Linked DNA regions of Coturnix japonica. The protein of the gene in region 1 purifies or fractionates together with the protein of each later gene. This does not show direct contact. Links are inferred from orthologs where the notes say so. Each region holds a gene or a part of one and is shown on either strand. Other genes may lie near its edges.

Region 1 (3,651 bases):
AACCTGCCAGGTGACCAACCTAATTCTGCTGTAAGGACTCGCATGCACGGTATAGTCTGAGGTATTCCTTGTCCATCGGCTGTTTGTGCCACTGCAAGATACTGTCTGTCGGAGTACGCGCCATCACAATGGTTTAACAAATTCTGAATATTAGGAATTCATATCTTCTTCTTATCTAGCCAGTCTCTTGATTTTTGAAAAGATTCCAACTACAGTAGAATATTACAGAAACAAAAAATAAATGCAGGGCTTTTCTTTCTAAATGAAACTTACATGGATTAAAACTAGAGAGTATTTTTAAACAAATATACAGTATGCAGGCAGACGAAGCAGGAAAACGGCCATTCGACTGTATAATAAAAAACTAAGAAAATTCGGCTATTCCCAGAAAAACTATGAAGCGCCTCAACTAAAAGGAATGCATAATGAAATTCTAATCTAATACAGGTCAAAGGGTGTAAAAAGGTTATAAACCTTAACAGGAAAAATAAAAACAACTTTTACTGGCCATTCCTGTTGAAATGAGAATCTCCAAAGTAACAGAAAAGTGGCTACAAACCCACTTAGAGCACCGAACAGAGAGAAAAGAAGAGTCTTTTTTTTTTCAATCTCTGTTATATCATAAAATCCTGTGTTTCTACAGGTCAAACTGCTGGTGGCAGAAACAGAACTCTTTATAAACTGCAGATGTCCTGTACATAAAAAAAACTCATCGGAGTCGCACTAGTTCTAAAGACTTTTCTGTTCTAGCCTACCTACCGCGTTGTACTGTATTGTACTGTTTGTATTCAATCTCAGATATAGAAAGTCTCTTTCTGTAACCCTTGATTATTGTTGGGCACCAAAGATAAGAAAAGCAAGACGGGGTACAAAAATGCAAAATTTCAACAGTAATGGCAATGTTTTGTTTCAGTCCAAAAGGGTCCTGCATTTTCTCCCCCTCCAGTAATCAGACCGAAGGCTTAATCTGGGGGTAGCAAGTCATGCAAGCGAAATCTGTCTCTGATGTGAGGTCGGACATCTTCATTCTGCAGGGAAAACACACGTGTGGGCGTTAGAAGAATGAGCACCTCCACAGATCGGATCATAGCAGGGCCAAACCTCCAACGTCTGTGTATTAATATAACAAAATGGAAGCCGTGGATGTCGCTAATAACAAGAGGCTGACAAGAACAGATACATAACATACACAACCATTTAGGAATAGAATTATTTCCATTTTAAGAACAAAGACAACGACGGGCAGTATTTAACCTACACTTCTATAAATTCTCTATTTCATTACAACTTATGTCACCATTTTCCAGTTTCTGATTGAAAGCACAGTTGGAAATGACGCCATTCTGCCTCCTGCTATGTGAGTGCATCCCCACACAAACTGGAGTAACACTCTCCTTCCCGCAGTCACAATCTCAGCCACTCAGGATCTTAAAGTATGTGGTGCTGTTTGACAGAGCAAACCAACACATTGGGCTGGGAGTTGTGAGAACAACAAGCGAAAGAGAGACAGACTTACCAGCTCTACAAGTTTCTCCAGAAATGGAATCAATTTTAGGAGTTCATTGTCATTCTTATCCATGAACCAGCTTTCGATAGGAATTCCATTTGAAAGCTAAAGTTTAAAAAAAAAAATAAAAAAATCATCAATATGTTACTTCTATTTTATTTACCTAAAAATGTGGCTTGTGAAATAGCATTTTGGGGAGAAAAGTTTCCAAGCTCAAGTTTATTAATACGTATTTTTCCTCTACAGTTTGTACTAAAAATCACTTCTGCAACGAGTCTGTCCTTTGCATAAACCATCACAATTCTTTCATCCAAAACCATCACAATTGCATCAACAATCACAATTCAAAGCTGAACTGGATAACTTTGGGCTGTAGGACTCCTGTTGCACTGAGAAGCGTTGGCACATTGATCAGGTTTTAGGTTCAAACTACACAGATACCGACTGAGCACTGGCTGCACTTTGTGCAAACGGGCTTCTGGTGTTTAGGCTCCCACTGCTTCCACATCCAAAAGCTTTGCTGATGGCAGCTTGCTTACCTGATAGGCAAAGGCTTGCGGTGAATTGTCAATGATGATCGTTTTTGAAAGATCTCTTCCAAGAATGTTTAAATCCTTTATGTAGTTTCCTTGCACACAGACACAATGCTCACGGAAAAGTCGATGCCTGTGATTAGATCAGAATACTCATTAATGAGAGAAACTGCACCACCTATATGGCACAGGGAAAAAGAAAAGTCAGTGCTGCCAAATGTTGTCCACTTTTTTCCCTTCTGACCAGATTCCTAAAAACTGTCTCACATTTTGAGTGTTTCCCTCTAAGATGAGCGGCTAACCTGACTTTACGTTATTTAGCTCTCCAGGGAATTGTTTTGTATCTAAACAGAAAAGTTCAGCTCAGGCACAACAAACATCTGTCACCGTGGTCTGACTTTCTAACCCTTTCTGCAGATGAAATGACAGAGGGGCCCAAGATACTGGAAGGATTTTGCAAGGCTCAAACCACAGGGATGAGTTCTGCACTCCAAACAATTCACAAGGTTTGTCCTTTCTGTTCTGCTCCAAACACTGCAGCACACGCTGGGAAGTGCTGGACGGAACGTTCTCCTGCTGAGGTTACCTCTGCTGGCAATTAACCTATTTTCAGTTTTTAGAGCTTGAAAAAAGCCTCGAGGCCAAAACATTCCATCAACTTCTTCCTTTCCAATTAGTATATTCTCTTTTATTACTAATTAATTAGTAAATGGATTGGTAGAATAGAAGAACTCATTAAGAGGAGCAGGAATAAAACAAATGTCATGAAAGATCAGTATAATCGTAATTACCAATCAGCTGTGCACTGGATAGATTTCAGATTTGACAATGTAATATTACCCCACTGCAGTTTCTTTAAGGCTGCTTATATATTTCAGCAGAATTTTTAGAAGCTGCACACAGTGTGCTTACTACTTTCATGAAGGGAATGAGTTCCTAATGTTGCTAAGGAAGAAAATAAGCTGATGCCTCAGCAGCGAATGAATGTATATATAGATTCTGAGTCACACGTGTGGAGTGCCTGACAAATCCACAGTTAGGCTCGTGTCAGAACTCATCGTGCCCTGATGTCAGCTTCTCTGAGGCACATGACTCACAGCTACATTCACACACCACACAAATTTCAGAGAATCTCTGAACCTTCTTAGCATACAGCCTGCCTGCCTGCCTTGTTACCTCTGCTGTTCACAGCACAGATAAAACTGCAGTCCTCAGTCCTAAGTATCAGAGCCTTGGAGGGAAAACCATCACGTTACGGATGCACATGGACTCATTTTCTGTAAGCACCGACCCTGTACTTGTTGGTACATCCTGTCTGGCTGGTCAGATATCCCAGCAATATGACATCCCAGCACTGACTCTCAGTCCTAACTACAGCCAAGTGCAGTTCTTCATGCCCCTCATTAGAATACCCTATTTAGAATGAATCCCTGAGAAACCCCCTCTCCACTTTCAGCTTTCCCATGTAGCAGACTGCCTTGCAGATGAGGGTAACAGAAATTCATCCATTAGGATTTGTCACGTTTTAAGGGCTGCTCCTGAGAAACATTAATCTCTTCCAAACAAAGCTCAGCATTAGCAAAACAAATGTAAAACCAAAATAACTGCACT
Region 2 (4,287 bases), on another chromosome or scaffold:
CCAAGCACAGGGGAATGGGCACGGCTGGGAGCTGGTTGCCTGCACTGCTGCCACCACCTTTGGGGTGCCACATATGGACGGCACGTGGCACTTCGTGGGTTTTGCTGGGTGTGGGTTTGGGCTCACTCAGGCACTAAAGGAGCAGGGCATGGAGAGGTGAAGCAAGGGCCGAGCATCTCCCAGGGCTGATGGAGGGGATGTCACCTGCAGAAGCTGTGCTGGGAGGTGGCAGTGCTGCAGGGATGGGGATGCTCAGTCCCCATGGAGGCACAGGCAGAGGACAGCTGTGTTAGCTGTGTTTTCACCCCCAGCTGAAGGTTTGTAGGTGCAGAACAAAGCCGAGAACAAAAAGCAGCCACAAACCACAGTGGCATCCTCAGTGCTATGCGGGCAGCCCCAGGAGGTTTCACCCTCACTACTGAACACCACGGGGTTCCACAGAGGGTTCTCATGCTGAAAGTAGAAGCAGTTCCTGTCTCACCCTGCACGTCCCCCAAACCCAACCTCCTGCTGGTGCACTGTTAGTTCCCATCCTGCTGTAGCTGCCCTGGGAGCCCCGTCTCCAGGTGATCATGCCCAGGGATCATGGTGTGGAGCATCCCAAAAGCAGCCCTGCTGGCAGCAGCACCAGCTCCCAGCACACATCTGGAGCATCCCCATCCCCATGTGATTGCTCCATAGGCAGTGGGGCTCCTGGTGGCTGAGCTAACCCCAAGAGCACGGGATGGAGCAGGTGCCTCCACCTCTCTTGCTGCAGGAAGAGATCCGGGTTCTCCCATCCCCAAGGCACCGCAGCCCCCATTGTTTTCTATGTGCGCAGATCCGGCCGCATTCAGCTCCCTGCGGTCCGGGTGGGTGTGGGGGTGACACGGCCCTTTTGGGAAAGGCGCTGCCACCGAACCCACCCACCTGCGAGCGTTAATTAATATTCATCCGTCTCTTCCTAATGGGAACCTGCCTGTGAGTCACGCTGACATTTCCCTGGGACAATGGTAATTAAACACCTGGCTAAGAGAAATGTGCGGTAATAGAAAAGTTAAGTTTTGCTTTAAGTGCATCAGTTCGGAGAGGAAAAGGGGGGGGGGGGACGAAAAGTGCGTGTTACAGCGGGTGGGAGGCAGCGGCACAGCGGCACACAGCGTCAGCGGCACGGGGCTGGAGCCGGCCCCGCATGATGCAAGGAGGGATACGGGGATGGGGGAGGATACAGGGAGGGGAATAGGGGCGATGAGAGCAGCAGGGACGGACGGAGGGCAGCCCCGCATGATGCAGGGAGGGGAGGGGGCTTCGATTTGGAATGGAGCTGGAAACACGCGTTGAGCTGCCCATGTTGGGTCATTGCAGCCCGTAGAGACACCGCAGGGTGCGCCCATCCCCACTGTGTTCTGTAATGGGGGGATAACGGGGTGTGGGGATAACGGGGTGTGGGGTGGGCGGCCCCTGCTCCCCACGGCCTTACAGGGGGGCAGGGGTCGGACATTAGGATGAAGCCCCCCTCGGGATGAGCGGTGTTGGACACCGACAACCCGAGGGGTGGATGATGGGGGTGGTGTCACCATCCCTGCCCACGTTCCAGAACTCGGAGCTCCGTTACCTGCGGACCAGGCGGGGCTGTGCCGCCCCCCGTTACATAACAACACAAACCCCACCGGCCGCACCGGGCGTTGCGCTCCCCACGGCCGCAGTGTTTACAGCCGCTCGGCGCACACCATTCCGCAGGGGGAGCGGCCGGCCGTGCCCTCACTGCTCTCATCCCCCCCGCACCGAGCAGCCCGGCGGGCAGCACTAGCGGCCTCACCACCCTTATCACCCCTCCATCCCCGGTTCTCCTCCTCCGTTCCCTCTCGGTACGATGCTCACGTCCCGTCTCCGTCACTCCATCCCCCCCCGTAATGTTGATGGTACGATCCGACGCCCCGCGATTGGCCGAGCGCTTAAAGGGGCCGGCAGGGCGCGCTTTTCCGCCCTGTGTCGCTCGGTGCCGCTCCCCCCGTCCCGCTCGGCGCTGCCCGGCCCGGCTCCACGCGGGGACCGGCGGACGGGGGGGGGCTGGGAGCGGGGCTGCCCCCACCGCGCTGCTATGGAGACGGCGGACGGAGGCCGCAAACGGACACAAAGGGCGGCGAGGAGGCGGCGCGGCCCCATGGCGGAGGAAGAGGAGGAGGAGGCTGCGGCGGTGGTGGTGGGCCCGGGGTCGGGCTGTAGCGGTGCGGGGGTCCCTCGGTACCGGCTGTTGGCAGAGATAGGCCGCGGGGCCTATGGTGTGGTGTACGAGGCGGTGTCGAGCCGCAGCGGAGCTCGGTTGGCGGTGAAGAGGATCCGTTGCGACGCCCCCGAGAACGTGGAGCTGGCGCTGGCCGAGTTCTGGGCGCTGACCAGCCTGAGGAGGCAGCACCCCAACGTGGTGCGGTTCGAGGAGTGTGTGCTGCAGCGGCACGGCCTGGGGCAGCGCATGAGCCACGGCAACAAGCGCAGCCAGCTCTACCTGCGGCTGGTGGAGACCTCCCTCAAAGGTACCGGCACACAACAACCCCCGGCCCCTCCTGCCGTGGGGTTCCCATCCCCGGGTCCGTCCCTGTATCCCTTATCTTAAGGGCTCCTTCCTACCCCAGCTCCTGGGTGCCCTCCCTTGGCCTTCCAGCTCTGGAGATCCCCATATGGGTGCTCCCGTTGTGCCTCCGGCCCCTCCTGCCATGGGGTTCCCATCTCCAGATCTGTCCCTATAACCCTTATCTTAAGAGCTCCTTCCTACCCCAGCTTCTATGAGCTGCTGGGTGCTCTCCCTTGGCCTTCCAGCTCTGGAGATCCCCACATGGGTGCTCCCATTGTGCCCCTTTTTTCCTCTCTCCCCCCACATTGCTTAAATTCCTCCTTGGCATCCTCTGCCCTCAAGGAGCCCTCCTCCCCTCCCTCCTCCTTTCCCCAGGCTGCCCCCATCTTGCTTAACTCTCCTTTATCTCTTTTATTTTAGCACTTTTTACCCCACTCAGCCCAGCATTGCCCGCACTGTGCTGTGTTTTCCCACCCCCCTCCTTCTGCTTTTCCCCTCTGCAGCCCTCCAACCTTGTGCATTATCACCTCCATGCTCAGGCACGTCCCCCTGTGCCTCCATCGCACCCCCATTTCTGCTGCTCTGCCCAGTGCCACAGCCCGGTGCTTGCCCTCAGTCCTTCCCCTTCTCAGCCCCATCTCTGAGCACCCTGAGGCTGTGACCCCACTTCCATGGCACCCTCTGTGTTCCCGTGGGCTCTGACAGTTTTGGGGCTGTTCTCTGTACTCTCCCATCCCTATTTCTCCACCACTCTGCCCTATAGGGATGGCTGCCACCTTCCCTTGGGTCCCCTCGGCAGCATCACGCGGCTGCTGGGGTCACCTCCTGCCACCACCAATGATTGTGATGGTGACATCTCCAAAGTGCTCCCTCCCTCTGCTCCTTTGGCTGCTGTCAGGCCCAGCTCTGCCAACATGCAGTGAAGAAGTGGAAAAATACTGGAGCCCCATCTCCTGGGTGTCCCCAGTGTCTCTCCAGCTGCCTGTGCCCCTTGGCTTGGTGTCCCCTGCTGTGGACATTGTGGAAGGCTGCAGAGCTGCCCTCTGAGCAGATCCACAGCTCCCACACCCTTGGGATCATGTCTGGATCTCTGTATGTCCTCACATGGCCCTGAACCTGGCTTCTTTTTGCTCCTCATGCATGCATCCAAGTCATCCAAGAAGGGCTCTATCCTATTCTCTGTGCAGCCCTGTGGGGTGGCTGCCTGCCCTCCACACAGAGAGCTCCCTGTGCTTGGGGTCTCTTGCTCCCCATGCTGACAGGCAGCATCCCTCAGAGAAGGCTTCTGGGGGAGCTGTCGGTGCTCCCCACCCATCTGCAGGCAGGTGCCTTCTGTTCCTTGCACAGTCACCTCCCTGCTGCTGGGAGAGCTTTGCCTGTCCTGATCCCTCTTCATCTTCTCCCTCCCTGTGCCTGCCCTCTGAGCTGTGTTATCTGCTGGCCCCAGGCAGGGACAGAAGCTGTGCTCACCACCTTCCCCACCTTTGGCTTTGATACCGTACTGATAAATATTGTTAGCAGCAGAGCCAGGAGAGCCCCTGAGCTGCATATATTCCCTTCCTGCCCGCAGCTCTCCTGGCTGAGGCTGCAGTGGGCACGTGGCCGGGCAGCCGTGCCATTCTGCACGACTGCAGCGTGGCTATTTACAGGCTGCACAGATGCTGTGCCAAGGCGCCCGGCTCAGGGTGAGGGGGGGGGATTAATCTGAGGCTCTTTCTGCATCAGGAGCATAACTG
Region 3 (2,595 bases), on another chromosome or scaffold:
TGCAGACCTTGCCCGTGTTTGGGGCACAAGTGCTGCAGGTTGTTTTCTTGCTCCAAAGAGCAGAGAAGAGCAAAGGGCAGAGCTGAGTGCAGAGATCACTTTATGATAGCCTATGCTGAAAGAGAGAAACCCAGATCTCCCTTGGCTTGCTCTCTCTTCTGCCCACTCCAGGTGATATTACATTACCAGGCTGAGCTGGTGTAGTGTGAGGAGGCCTGGGAAGGGCTGTTGGTGTCTCCTGCAGTGCTTCAGGAGACATAAGCAGAACCAGGCTTATGTAGTGAGCTCTGAGCTGGTGTGGCTTCCTTGTGCCGCAGTCCCAGATCTGGAGGTGGATTCTGTCATCTGGATGCTCTGAGCTGAGACCCAATTACAGCTCCAGTGTGGGAAGAGCTCTGTGTTGGAGTTGCTCCCTCCTGTGCTGTGGTTCCCATCTTGCTGTTATTGGCTGTAAACCCTGAGTATACAGTTTAAGTGCTAACACAGAATTGCTCTTAAATTGGTTTGAGTACTAACTGTGCTCACAACTAAACGTAGCTATCATTTGTTACTAATTTTGCTCTTGGTTTGGGAGAAGGAAGACTTTTTAAAGTTTCTCTATGTATTAATAGCTGTATTCACTTTTGAAGGCCTATAGAGGCTGCATCTGCTTTAGTAAACACTGGTTTAGTGCTAACTAGCAAGTCTGACATTCCAGAGTGTGCAAAGAGCCACCTCAGAGGAGCTGAAAAGACAGGTTTGTAGCTGTGTGAACAGAGAGCAAGCAGAGTTGCTGGTTTATATTGCACGTTGTACAAAGTGGCCACTGGGACTGGCTGCTGGAGTTGTTCTCTGCTTATGTTCTAGTGTGCTGCAGTGAGAAAGGTGTTGCTACAGCAGCTGCTGAGCTGTGCCTATGGATTAGCATTCTCCTGAGCTAAGAGATCCTGTGCTAACGCTTGCTAGAATGCATTCACGTGTCAGGGATGGAGGGCAGGCTCTTAAGAACGTGTAGTGAGGCCGCCTTATAAGCAGAGGACAAACCCAGCCCTGTGCTGCTGTGCAGGGGTTCATGGTTGGGGCTGTGTTTGTATTTGGAGTTAGCAAAATGGGTGGGACGCTGGCCAGCCGAAACAGATGGGAGTGCAAGGACTGCTTGATATCCTTCAGAAAGCTGTTATCTGGGGCTGGCTCTGGCTTCTGGGTAGGAGCGTGAGGTTGATATGCTTCACACGCACACAGAAATAACAAATACATTGTGATTTTTTTCCTTTTTACATCATAAGTTTTGCATGAACTCGTTTGGCAATACCTTACTCTCTGAGCTGTTGAGAGGAAGATCCAAAATGTGTGCTTTTTTTTTGTTTTTCCATCATATCTTTCTATTTCTGTGGTCATCGGGTAGTTGTGACACTTCTTTTCCTTATTGCAGCTTGTAGAGACCTCATTAAAAGGAGAAATAGTCTTTGACCCCAGAAGTGCTTATTACCTTTGGTTTGTAATGGATTTCTGTGATGGAGGAGATATGAATGAGTATCTGTTGTCTCGAAAACCTAACCGCAAGACCAACACCAGTTTCATGCTTCAGCTCAGCAGTGCGCTGGCTTTCCTGCACAAAAATCAGATTATCCATCGTGATCTCAAACCTGACAATATTCTGATATCGCAGAGCAGGATGGATGCCAGTGACTTGGAGCCCACATTGAAAGTAGCTGACTTTGGGCTGAGTAAGGTATGTTCAGCTTCAGGCCAGAATCCTGAGGAACCAGTCAACGTAAATAAGTGTTTTCTATCGACTGCCTGTGGGACTGACTTCTATATGGCCCCCGAAGTCTGGGAAGGACACTACACTGCCAAAGCAGACATTTTTGCACTGGGGATCATAATCTGGGCAATGCTAGAAAGAATCACATTCGTAGACACAGAGACAAAGAAAGAACTCCTGGGTAGTTACGTCAAACAGGGGACAGCCATTGTGCCCGTTGGAGAGGCACTGCTAGAAAACCCTAAGATGGAACTGCTCATCCCCGTAAAGAAAAAATCCATGAATGCACAGATGAAACAGTTGATTAAGGAAATGCTGGCTGCCAACCCGCAGGACCGTCCTGATGCTTTTGAACTAGAGCTGCGATTAGTCAACATAGCTTTTAAAGACAGCAGCTGGGACACATGACCTGCAGAGTGGTGGTCTCTTGGAAGGAGCTGCTCCTTGCCCAGCTGATGGTGCAACTTAATGGCAGTAAAGAAACGAGGCCGATCTCAGACCCGCAGGGTGTAGTTTCTATTGATGGAATTTTGTTTGAGTTCCGCTCGTTCTAAGAATGTGAGTTGGCAGTTGTGTTAGCGATGCGTTGTGTTTTGTTTCCAGGATGTTATGTGTTAAGTCTTAAGATGTGACAATGTTCATTTGTGTACGTTGGCAGTGGGACATCCTAGGAGCTGAGGTTTGATTTCCGGCCATATCTCAGAGTATTTAATACATTCCAGTTTCCTATATCAGTATTAGGAACTCTCCTGGAAGAAGAGATTTGCATGCTGGTAGTGCAGATCTTCAGGTTTGTAAAGTAATTGTCTATGTATTTATGCATATGGGTGACTGAGAGCGTATGCTTGCAA

What was found.
Region 2: the proteins of CTDSPL2 (region 1) and STK35 purify together in Homo sapiens (affinity purification with mass spectrometry; 3 studies listed by BioGRID and IntAct, counting the BioPlex papers as one, with this or other methods). This does not show direct contact. The link is inferred for Coturnix japonica from reciprocal best matches to the Homo sapiens genes CTDSPL2 and STK35.
Region 3: the proteins of CTDSPL2 (region 1) and PDIK1L purify together in Homo sapiens (affinity purification with mass spectrometry; 4 studies listed by BioGRID and IntAct, counting the BioPlex papers as one, with this or other methods). This does not show direct contact. The link is inferred for Coturnix japonica from reciprocal best matches to the Homo sapiens genes CTDSPL2 and PDIK1L.

What each region holds. Positions count from the first base shown.
Region 1 is NC_029525.1:17,942,694-17,946,344, forward strand, and holds part of CTDSPL2 (CTD small phosphatase-like protein 2), read right to left. Parts: intron 2,174-3,651; coding exon 2,047-2,173; intron 1,613-2,046; coding exon 1,517-1,612; intron 1,029-1,516; coding exon 963-1,028; 3' UTR 1-962. UniProt on the Homo sapiens protein: Probable phosphatase.
Region 2 is NC_029535.1:9,249,289-9,253,575, forward strand, and holds the start of STK35 (serine/threonine-protein kinase 35), read left to right. Parts: upstream 1-1,469; 5' UTR 1,470-1,852; coding exon 1,853-2,513; intron 2,514-4,287.
Region 3 is NC_029538.1:2,855,379-2,857,973, reverse strand, and holds part of PDIK1L (serine/threonine-protein kinase PDIK1L), read left to right. Parts: intron 1-1,411; coding exon 1,412-2,152; 3' UTR 2,153-2,595.